Linked DNA regions of Kluyveromyces lactis. The protein of the gene in region 1 interacts with the protein of each later gene in a biochemical or structural test. Links are inferred from orthologs where the notes say so. Each region holds a gene or a part of one and is shown on either strand. Other genes may lie near its edges.

Evidence for each region.
Region 2: the proteins of MRC1 (region 1) and TOF1 form a complex in vitro, tested with the Saccharomyces cerevisiae proteins (2 studies listed by BioGRID). The link is inferred for Kluyveromyces lactis from reciprocal best matches to the Saccharomyces cerevisiae genes MRC1 and TOF1.
Region 3: of the proteins of MRC1 (region 1) and HOG1, one has a biochemical effect on the other in vitro, tested with the Saccharomyces cerevisiae proteins (2 studies listed by BioGRID). The link is inferred for Kluyveromyces lactis from reciprocal best matches to the Saccharomyces cerevisiae genes MRC1 and HOG1.

What each region holds. Positions count from the first base shown.
Region 1 is NC_006039.1:35,277-39,667, reverse strand, and holds MRC1 (chromatin-modulating protein MRC1), read left to right. Parts: upstream 1-1,493; coding exon 1,494-4,271; downstream 4,272-4,391. Other genes in the region: ribosome biosynthesis protein KRR1, read left to right, coding at 92-1,084; VAC17 (Vac17p), read right to left, coding at 4,338-4,391. UniProt on the Saccharomyces cerevisiae protein: Required for normal DNA replication. Phosphorylated in response to DNA replication stress. Phosphorylation allows it to mediate the activation of RAD53.
Region 2 is NC_006039.1:187,652-191,885, forward strand, and holds the start of TOF1 (Tof1p), read left to right. Parts: upstream 1-1,431; coding exon 1,432-4,234. UniProt on the Saccharomyces cerevisiae protein: Forms a fork protection complex (FPC) with CSM3 and which is required for chromosome segregation during meiosis and DNA damage repair. FPC coordinates leading and lagging strand synthesis and moves with the replication fork.
Region 3 is NC_006042.1:1,865,945-1,869,087, reverse strand, and holds HOG1 (mitogen-activated protein kinase HOG1), read right to left. Parts: upstream 1,880-3,143; coding exon 545-1,879; downstream 1-544. Other genes in the region: ATP-binding cassette glutathione S-conjugate transporter YCF1, read left to right, coding at 1-302. UniProt on the Saccharomyces cerevisiae protein: Proline-directed serine/threonine-protein kinase involved in a signal transduction pathway that is activated by changes in the osmolarity of the extracellular environment.

The DNA.
Region 1 (4,391 bases):
GCTTGAAGCGTACTAAAGGCCAACAGACAATTTTGCGAACTCACAAGTATCGGAAAAAGAGGTAGATATTGATTTAGTCGTGAGTTGAAAGATGGTCTCTACTCATAATAAAGACAAGCCTTGGGATACGGACGAGGTTGACAAATGGAATATCGAGGAGTTTAAACCCGAGGACAACAAGTCTGGCCTTCCTTTTGCTGAAGAATCCAGTTTTATGACTCTATTTCCAAAGTACAGAGAAGCGTACTTGAAATCAGTTTGGAAAGACGTTACGAGGTCTCTCGATGCACATCATATTGCATGCGAATTGAATTTAGTTGAAGGTTCTATGACTGTAAAGACTACAAGAAAAACGTATGATCCAGCAGTAATCTTGAAGGCTCGTGATTTGATTAAACTTTTGGCCAGATCTGTGCCATTCCCACAAGCAGTGAAAATCCTAGAAGACGATGTTGCCTGTGATGTTATAAAGATTGGTAACTTTGTTTCTAATAAAGAAAGGTTCGTGAAAAGAAGGCAGAGACTAGTGGGTCCTAATGGTAACACTTTGAAAGCCTTGGAGCTTCTAACAAAATGTTATATTCTTGTCCAAGGTAATACTGTCTCAGTAATGGGACCATATAAAGGATTAAAGGAAGTACGCCGTGTCGTCGAAGATTGTATGAAAAACGTACATCCTATTTACCATATCAAAGAACTCATGATAAAGAGAGAACTTGCTAAGAAGCCTGAGTTAGCCGAGGAAGACTGGTCTAGATTTTTACCTATGTTCAAGAAGAGAAATGTTGCAAGAAAGAAACCAAAGAAGATCAAGGAGAAGAAAATATACACACCATTCCCACCTGCACAATTACCTAGAAAGGTTGATTTGGAGATTGAGTCCGGTGAGTATTTCTTGAGCAAGAGGGAGAAGGAAGTCAAAAAGTTACATGAGCGCAGGGAACAACAAGCCGCTAAACACGCTGAAAAGGAAAGCGAGAGAGCCAAGGATTTTATTGCACCAAAAGAAACCGACTACAAAAGCTCAATTTCAAAATCTACAAAGAGCTCTTTAGGAGACAGGAAAAGACAGCGTACCGATTAAAGCGCTAGTAAGTATTTTATTATATAATCGCGTTTCCATCCTTTTCTCATGACTCAAATTAAGAAATATAGTTTTAAGTTAAGTTTCAACCAGTTGCTTTGTTCAAAAATCGTCCCAGTAGACACTTTACGATTATATTTATGGACCACGTATACGCTTTTCACTAACTATCATTCATGCCAGCAACGTTCTTGCTTTTCCTTATGTCAAAACCTGCGGTGTGACAAAAATATAGTACGTACGATCAAGAAGGTTTTTTGAAAAGAAAAATGAGAAAACGCGTAAATATTTAAGGCTCGCAGCCCAATCTTATAAGCACGATAATGTTACCAGGTAAGGCATTATTATAACCGTTTTATTAAAGGAATTCAACACCTTGCAAACACTTCGGCACATTATCAAGTGCAGAATGGACCTACTAGATGATTTGAACGTTGGCATTCATAAAAAGAAAGGCAAAACATATTCTAAAGCGAACGATGCAGAAGATGAAGAGCTGAACGTGGGAGAGCACAAGTTTCTAGCAGAGAATCTGCTTGAAAGAGTCAAAAAGAGACTAAATGGAGATTCAGATGATAGCACTGCTTCGGCAATTGATAACAGTAAAAAAAGCACATTCTTCTACAGTGATACCGATTTGTATGAAGGTAAAGAGTTGGACGATGAGTTTGAGGCAATGCGTGAAACTGCTGCAGTACCAAAGCAGCGTGAAGTGGAAATCCAACAGAAAAAACATCCAATATCTCAGACACAATTAATTCCTACATTCTCTTCATCTTGGCTGGCAAAGACTCAAGTAAATACTCAGGCACTGGAGGGCACCAACAGAACCATTGATAGACAACAGCAAGATTTAGACACACAATTGAACAATGAGGAAATTACACAGACTACACCAGATGAACACACTCTTGATAAAGCTGCAACCGAAAGTAAATTGCTGCACAGTAAAGAAACTTCCTTTCGAAATACTTCGTTTACATTTAAGTTGACAACAAACAACAATGAAGGACTACTGGCAACTAAACCAAATGGAACTCAAATAGAGAATGAGCAAAAAGTGGTCGCTACTCAACTTGATGTTGCTGAAAAGGAGAAAGCCGTGCCTCTTATAAAAGATACTATAGAAGAACCACATTTACCTGTAGCACCATTAAAGGCTGTCCGAAAGAAATACCTCCCTGAACAGTTCATTGCAGCTTTTGATGATTCGGAGTCATCCAACGCAGAAGATCTTTCAGATGAGGAAAATGATGCTGATGAATTGAAAGATATGGCATCTACTCAAGAGTTAGTCACGAAACAGAAGAGTGTTGTTACTAATATGAATGGGATTATTGCCATTACTATGAAAAATAGTCCACAAAATGTTATTGAACTGAACTCTTCGTCCGAATCTGAAGATGACTATAAATCACAATCGTCCAAGGCAGCATTATTGCTGATTAAAGCTAAGAGATCCAGGAATAAGGCTACTAAAGCAAAGAACATGCATGTTTCTACAGTTGACTCTTTGAAGGAATTGTTTACATCTTTGAAAACAAAGAACAGAGACCAGATACTTGAATTTAGAAGAGAAATATCCGGTAAAAAAGGAATATCACTTGAAGCGATTGAAGATGAAAAGATTCAAGTTGAAAAGCTTCTAGAGCAAGAGCTTGAAAGGAATAGGAGAGTTAAACTAAGAGAAAAAAGAGAAAGAGAGAAATCAAAAGATACGAGTAAAGCTGCATCTTCTGGTAGCGCATCCGATGTCCCTGATAGCGATGTGATGGAGAGTGATTTAAGCTTATCAGATAGTGATGTCGAGCAGCATTTAGGGCTACACGGGTCCACTGGTTCAGACGAAGATAGCGCGGATACATCGGCAGCCCATAAAAACAACAATCCTATAATAGATGATGACGAGAGTTCTTCGTCAAGTGATGATAATGAAGTCACCCAGGAGCCGATTGGCATCAATTTAGGGCATTATGGCGATAATTTAACTTCCTCAAATGTAACGGAAAATGATGGTGCTGATCAAAGTGACAGAAATGTGCCTTCAAATTCAGAACTGAAGATGAACAGATCACATTCAGCGAAATTATTGGTGGGAGAGTTAAGTTCCGATTCCTCAGTAGACTCTGATTCCTCAGAGGACGAGCTCGACGAAGTAGAAAGGAATAGGCTTCAAGAAAGGGCTAAAATGCGCCGAAGAATGGAAATAGAGGCAGCAAAAAAGCGGAAGCAAGTACTTAAATCAACTGGTCTCAACAAAATATTGGAAATGGAAGCAGAAGAATCTGAGGATGAATGGCATGGTGTTGGTGGTGCTGACGGAGAGAATTCAGATGACTATGACTCAGATTTGGATACCATGATAGATGATTTTTCCAAAAGCAAGTTTGATACCGCTTCAATAAGAGAAAGGTTAGCCTTAGAGAACAAAGAAATGGACGAAAGGATGATAAATAAAATCTTACATGATATCAATACCGGAGGCTTTCGTAAACGTGGCCGAGGAGCACTAGATCTTGAGTTAAGCGATGATGAGGATGAGTTACTACGACAGTTTAGGGAAAAAAGAAGAGAAATAATGAAACAAAAGCTACTAGAAAATGTGGACGGTGTAGTCAATAACTCAAAATCAAAAGCCTTTTTCGATAGTATGGTGGAAGATATAACTAGAAAGTCAATCCCTGCTGTCACATCATTCAGCAATACTCGAGATGAGATGGGAAAGAAGAAAATTGTCATATCAGAAGAGTTTGTTCAGAGTTCATTATCGTTTTTAAGTGCAAAAGATGATGATATCAATGAATTTGAGGTCACTGAAGCAGCACATGATGCAACTGAGGATTTGGAATCTTTGAAACAGCGAAGCAATATTAAATCTCTCGATTCCCCTCAAAGGAATAGAAACTCCGCCTTCTTTGATGATGTGGATGGTACATCTCTGGACTTCAAATTGCCCAGCATCGTAAAGTCTTTTTCGTCAAACTCAGATGTTAATGACAAGTTCAAAACGGGGATCAAAACTGTTACTATATCTAAATCTTATAGAGTAGCCTCTGGTTCTCGATCTGCCATCACTTTCTTGGGTAAAAAGAGAAAATTGAAGGCACCCCAAGGCCGAAAATCCACACCGTTGGTACGCAAACCAACATCTAGCTTGTTTGACTCCAATTCCGATAGTTTCACCTGACCCATCCAACTAATATGTCAATTTCATTATAAAATCTCTTAAAATTACATTTGTATAATCATTATATCAGAAGTTAAATTCAGTGTTCAATGCCTCTTGAAGTTCATTATATGAAACAGT
Region 2 (4,234 bases), about 150 kb from region 1:
CCATATTTGGTAATACATAGTAATGTTTTACCACACATAGTATAACCATATCGCAGTCATCATAGTGGTCTGAAGGAACAAAGCAAACACCAATCACACAATTCTTCCTCAGATAGCATTATAATCCTGAAATTTTCCTTGTAACAAAACCATCTAGCATTGGTCCTGTTTTGAACGTTCCATTTTTTTTCTTTCTTCACATTCTTAATCGACTGTTCTTTGTCATACTCTTGTCTACTTGCTGCCGTAAATCATTTTAAATAACTTGTGCGCAGTGCAACATAAATCTTACGTTTATCAAAGGCAGCAAAGGCATGGCATAGGTTCTATTCTACTTCCGTAGTTAATAATTGAGAGCATATTTCAAATATATTTTTTGCCTCAGAAATTGGAACAATGTATCTCCCCGCAATGATCCTATACCACGACACAAGATCACATACCCGGTATGTATAATCCCCCAGCACTCAGTAGACATATTCACCTCCCTCATTCATGTTCTCTACATTTGAAAGTTAAAACCTCAAAATCAAATTTCAGATCGATGAGTTAAAAAAATGGAAAAACCACAGATTAATGCTTATTGATCTTCATTGACAAATGAGACATCGCAAACCGGACCAACCATCTTTAACACACTATTGCAGTGTTTTTGTCTTTTTTGAGGAATTTCAAAAGCTTTTCCACTTATGTCTGCTCTTCATTAACGGAGAATGTCGTCACATAAGCCGAGTGCAATCAGAACCCTTATTTTTTGCTTTTTGTACGCTTTATTTACGACCGTTCCTAATACGGTCATGAAGATCGAAAAAAAAATATGCAAGATTATTTCTAGATTGACACAAAGGAGAACAAAGTAGCCATAGGAGCAGGTATAATACAATTTGATCAAATATTTTAATATATGGCTTGTGTTTGGTATCAATCTACTTGAAATTATATGGTGACTGCTACTATTCCTTTAGTTTGGTATGAAAGCTCAGCTTGAAAGCAAGAACAGTGAGTTACTTTCCCGCATGATATTTGGACTTTCGTCTCTGTTTCGTCGTTGGGAGAACAGTAATCTAACTAAAATGTTACGGAACTAATATTTAAAATTGAAACTTATCAATTGCTGATAGTGAGGCAATAAAACAGTGCTTGTACCGTGTATTGATAGGGGGGGCGAAGAATTACAATTTTCAAAATCACGTGATCTGGTTTTGTCTTACTTTTCATAGGAATCAATTCCAATCGAATGAGATTTTGATCATAAAACAGCTTTCAACAGTTTTACGCGTTTGAACAAAAGGATGAATATTCGAAGGGCTACCTTAATCAAGAGGGCAAATTCTTTCCAATTTGACCAATTTGACAACGAACATAACTAGTATTAGTTGAGAAAACTATTAGAAAACTTCTTTGGGTTCGTAGCTTTGACAGAAGGTAACTATGTCAGAACCCGATGACGTTGATACTGTGAAGGAGAGACTGGCAGAAGATAGGCAAAACATACATATTCAGAATGAATACCAGGATATTTCATACACAATCATTAAGGCAAGAATTGGTATGTTAGCCACGGCAATTGGAGGACCAGATCACTCTGTGGACTCCGTTAATCCACCTTATAAGGTAGGTGATGATTGCTTGGCTTGTATTAAGGATTTGATTCGTTGGTTCAAGTTAGTTGATGATAACCAGAAGAGATGGGATGTAGAAATGGCCACAGCTGAATTCAAGATCCTGCAGAATGATCTAATACCTATTCTATTGGATTGGGAGGCAAAAAATAGTGCTGCTACTAGGAAAAGTAAAAAAACAGGTGAAGATATCTCGATTTTCTTCCCGAATAAATCATATCATGATAGAATCGCTCTAGGAGCGTTGCAACTTATGGTGTTGATGACATGGCCCTTAATCATAACAGATCAGTCATCGTATAACCAAGTGAATTATTACTTTGAGCTGAAAAAGCATCAATTGCTGTATAAGCATGCAATTTTGACAACAGAAAACGGAAAGGTTCTCAAGGCAGCAATTAGATTAGCCCTGAACGTCATGAGTGTGGATGTAGATCATAGGACTGCTAGGGATGACTCTCTGATACGAATGGTTCTTAATTTTCTAAAAAATGTGGTGGCAATAGAACCAGGTGAAGTTACAATATCCAGTGTCAAAAGATTGAAGAGACCTTTGACTATGGCTGAAATGTTACCAACGAATATTACCGTTGATGATATTTCCATAAATAGTGTCATAACCGCATTTGATAAAAATAAAGTTTTTGGCTTTCTTCTAACAGTGGCTAGTTCTTTGTCAGACGCTGTTGACCCAAATTTCGTTAGTTGGCCGTTGTTAGAGGTCATGTTCTTCTTAACAAAAGATATTAACCCCATCCGATTGTTCAAAAACCAGAGAAAATCTTATAAATTGGGTACGGATCACGAGATTACAGACTCCAACATGACAACGTCAGGTAAACACCTTTCAGAATTACTTGCAAAGGAACATGAAAAGAAGCTTAATGTAATAAAGAATACTTCTTCTCGTCATTCTAGATTTGGCGGTTTATTGTCTATACAGACACCTCAAAATACGCGATTGACAATTGCTAGTAATTCTGTCAACATGCGTGATGATGCGGCATTACAAGAGTTAGACTCAAGAAAAAAATGGAATAAAACCATCACTATGAGACTCGATGTTATTGAAGGACTCAGTAGCAGCTTTTTTAGTACTGAAGGTAATTCTATTTACATGTCTTCTGACAACATTACTAGCATAAAAGAGTTTTTGGCAGATTTTGTTGATTCCAGTTTCAATTTGTTATTGCAAAATGCCACAGATAGTTTTACGAGTGAAATTCAAGATCAATTACCATTGCATAAGATTGAATACATGTTATTCATTTCGTGGTTTGTGAAATTCCAGAGATCACGGTGCATTTATGAAATTGATGCTACACCGGATTATGTCTCAGGCGCATTGTTAGATGAGTGTTACATTCTCTTTACAAAATATTTGAGAGAGAGTTATGAACAAAAGAATTGGCCAGTGGTCCATGCGGGTATGCTATTGTTCACGGAATACTTGGAGTTTTTATTATCTCTCGACCAATCATGGGAGGCAGATGTTCAAGCTGTGATAAGTAAGATTTTGAGCGAAAATATGTTGCAGCTATTGGCATCTCTCCCAAAATCTGCAACCAGTCATTCTTCACAATATGTTAAAGCTTGCATTAATTTAACACATGTGGTTTTGAAAACAATTGATAAATTTGATGAGAACAGCTCGTTGACTGTGGAGTCAAAAAGGAAGCGTAAGGTGAACCTTAATCACACAGCAATTGAAAAGTATGCAAAAGATAATGATTTAGACTATGAATCAGCCTTTGATATATTAGAAGAACAATTTAAACAAGTGACCATAAACTTTGATAAGGTTTTTCGCGGATATCTGACAGAACCAACGATATCAACTTACATCAGATATCTACAGTCTTACAAAGAACTGGAGGACAAAGACCTCATAAGGGTTCTAAAATTCTTTCAGAGAGTGTTTGTCAAAGCGAAGGAAGAATTATTTCTATTTCGAATTGACTTCATGATATTATGTCGAGAAATTCTAAGTCAACAAGGTCTGCCTACAACTTCTGAGCTAAGAACTCATTTCACAAAATTCAATGAGTACTACCTTAAGCAGCTCAAAAATAAACTGAAGAAAATGCCTTCTTTGTACATCAATATATTGTTCCCAATGCTCCATGACTCCCAAATATCATACTATATGAGACATGGAAAGATGAAGTTGACTGAAGGTACTCCTGACATAGTATTGCCCAGCACATTTATCAATATTCCAGATGAAGGCTCTCTTCCTAAAAAAGTTTTGTTAGATATGCAAGTTGGAATCTTGGTTTCTAGTCTTATCGATGATGGATATGAAGATTTGATTGAAGCTTTGTTGCTTAATTTACAGTCAAGTTTCGATGGATTGAAGGGTAAGGTAGCAGAAGGCATCAATTCACTAGAAGAGGAAAGAGTAAAAAAAGTTGCATTCAATGCTACTAATTCTGAGATAAAGAGGGCCTTATACCAACAGCCCGAATTCAGAAGGCTTTTAATCCTTGCTGGTTTTGCAATTCCGGAAGCTAATCAACCTGCTTGCTATTTCATTAATAATAAAACTCCTACTGAGGTCCAGTTGGTAATTGAAACTATACAAAAGCACAGGTCTCTTCCATTTGAATCTG
Region 3 (3,143 bases), on another chromosome or scaffold:
AAAGGCAATTGATGTGCTTGGCTCGTGCCTTGTTGATTTCAAGTAATATCTTGATTTTGGATGAAGCAACTGCAGCTGTTGATGTTGAAACGGATCAATTGATCCAAAAGACGATTAGAAACGCATTTAAGGAAAGAACAATCTTAACAATTGCTCACAGGATTAACACAATTATGGACAGTGATAGAATTATAGTGTTGGATAAAGGTAGAGTAACAGAGTTCGACACTCCTCAGAATTTGTTACAGAAGAAGGATTCTATTTTCTATTCGTTATGTCTTGAAGCCGGCTTAACGGAGTGAAACCCCCTCAAGTTGTATTATCATAACAGAGATTTTGTTTATTTAAGTACTTTTGTAATAATTTTGTTAAGCAATTGTTTCCTAGTTGAGATGCCCTATCAGAATTATAAATAATATTCGGTTTATCGTAAGAAACGTGTAAATAGTTACATTTCTGCTGTGATTAAAAGATGCTTTATATAATACGAAATAAAAACAAAAAAAGAATATACTTCTGTCAAGCAGATTTCATTACATTGAACTTATTTGAATTTGGAGACGTATTGGTCTGCTTGATTAGCAAAATTCGTCAATGTTTCGTTTGCTGGATCAGGGCCAATAGAGAAAGAAGGGTTAGAATTGGAATTAGAGTTAGCGCCACTTTCAAGTTGTTGTGGGGTCACTTGAGCCTGGGGAGGAGTAGAGGCGATTGTCTGTTGAGTTTGCTCTTCAGTTTGGTGTTGTTGCTGCTGCTGTTGCTTAGAGGCAGCCTCCGCGGCGGCGACAGTGGCAGCGGCTACTTGGTCGTCGAAAGTAGCATTTGTATTGATTTGTGGGTCACCGATTTGATGGAAATCCAAGATCTCGGAATACATCATTACACGCCAGGTGTCAACAGGTAAGTCAGCATCGTTGAAATTCCAATCAAACTTAGCTTCTGCGATAGGTTCGTCGGTTGGGTCATGATATGGGGAAAGGTAAGGATGGGCCAAGGCATCAGCTGCTGTAATTCTCTTCTTTGGATCGAACACAAGCATTTTTTCTAGAAGATCTATAGCATCTGGTTCCAAGTTCTGGAACCTCGAACTGAATGGTACAGGATCTCTATGAGGTAATGAAGTAACAAATTTGAGAGTGTTCTCTGAGCAAATAGTGTCTATGACATCTTTTGGAGGCGATCCTAATAGATCAGTGATGATAGAAAATTGATGCACGTGATCTTTACCTGGGAACAAAGGCTTACCCTCGATCATTTCGGCAAAGATACAACCAGCAGACCAGATGTCTACTTCAACATTATATTTTTGCCAGGTCAACATGATTTCTGGGGCTCTATAGTAACGGGTTGACACGTAACCAGTCATTTGAGGATCTTGAATCCTAGCAAGTCCGAAATCGCAGATCTTTAAATCACAGTTCTCATTGATCAAGATATTGGAAGGTTTCAAATCTCTATGGATCACACCTGCGGAATGAACGTATTTAAGCCCCCTCAAGATCTGGTATAAGAAATATTGAACGAATTGTTTTTCCAAAGGCCTTGTCTGCAACAATCTATGTAGATCCGTCCCTTGCAATTCAGTGACGAAATAAATATCTTCTAATGGTGACAAGAAGATATCTTCGAGACAAATCAAATTCTCATGCCTTAGATGCTTTAACAATTTGAGTTCCCTATACGTTCTTTTTGCCAGTACGGAAGTAGAAAACGGTTTCATAATCTTCTTAATCGCTACAGGCTGGCTTGTTAGCGTATCTGTAGCAGAACAAACCAACCCGAAGGCACCCATACCAACCGGGTTCAAATTAGTATACCGATTGGTAATTTCGAAAACTGTACCAAAAATTTGAGTCCTAATAAATTCCTCATTCGACATTTTATTTCAATTGGAAAAACGTGTCCAGCTTCGATATCCTCGAGTTTTTGGTTCAACGAAGGATACGTATATGAATCTAATTCTTTGGGAGATCGCTCGAACTGGCAGATAACTTAAGCAACGTTATAGCAATTGTTGTCGAAGGGTCTCCTAGTTTTGTTTCTATCAAGTTTTCTTTAATTTTCAATTTTTTAAATTTAACGACTTGAATATGAAATTCAACGGTTCTAATTCACTAAAAAAAAAAGGAAGGGCCTGGCAAAAAACGATGTCCATTCACCGATAATGGAGGGGAAAGTGTCACAGTGGGAATTATATAAAACACTGTTTCGAAGATTTTATCACCGTTTGGTTCTGTGATTAACCCTGAAATACTGCCTGTGTACTTGTTTCCTATTTAAGACGTAACAACAGCTCTGACAGATAGGATCGACGTCGGCTTGATAGATTGGGTTATTATATGTGTATGCATGTATGTATGTAGAGTAAGATTTGCGAACAGGAGGGGCAGTGGCGGATTATGATACATGACATCCGGGTAATACTTCTACTGATATCACGTGATAAACCAAGTAAGAAACCCTTGAGAAGACCACCCAATTATTGCACACCTGTGAATACCGTGACGTTACATATTAATACTGGTGACCATAAACGTTAAAGGTACTTCTTGATCAATAATTATACATTTCCTCATTTAAAGTTTCTTTGTAAGTCGAAATGACAGTTTTTGGACAGACATCAATTTGAATAAAGTATGGTTTGAAACCGCCTACTTACATACAACGTGATCTGATAAGAAAACTTACGAGACAGGGTAATAGATGCATAGAAACGGATTAGTAACTTGATGTTACCCGGGAAATCACACCTCTTGGTTTTCTAGGCATGGAATAGAAAAAATGGACGAACCGTGAGATGATTTGCAGTAGGTAAAACCCACCGGCCGCGCCCTTGACGCTCTGTCGTAGTTTGTAACCTACTATCGGCGTTTCCAGGGTCTATTTACAAATCAAGCCATGACATCCTTCTCTACTGGTGACTGATCTGACTTACACTCAACATGAGTCGAACCCGCGACTCTGGAATACGACGATATACTTGAGATTTGTGATTAGCGCCTTTAAAGCCCTATCATGGAACCCTTGAAACGCGATCGCACAGGGTAAACAAAGCACACCATCTTGCAGAAGCAAGCAGACAAAGGGGAACGAATCTGATTAAAGAGTGAAATGCCCAAAGTCTAGAACCTTTTTACAGGGTA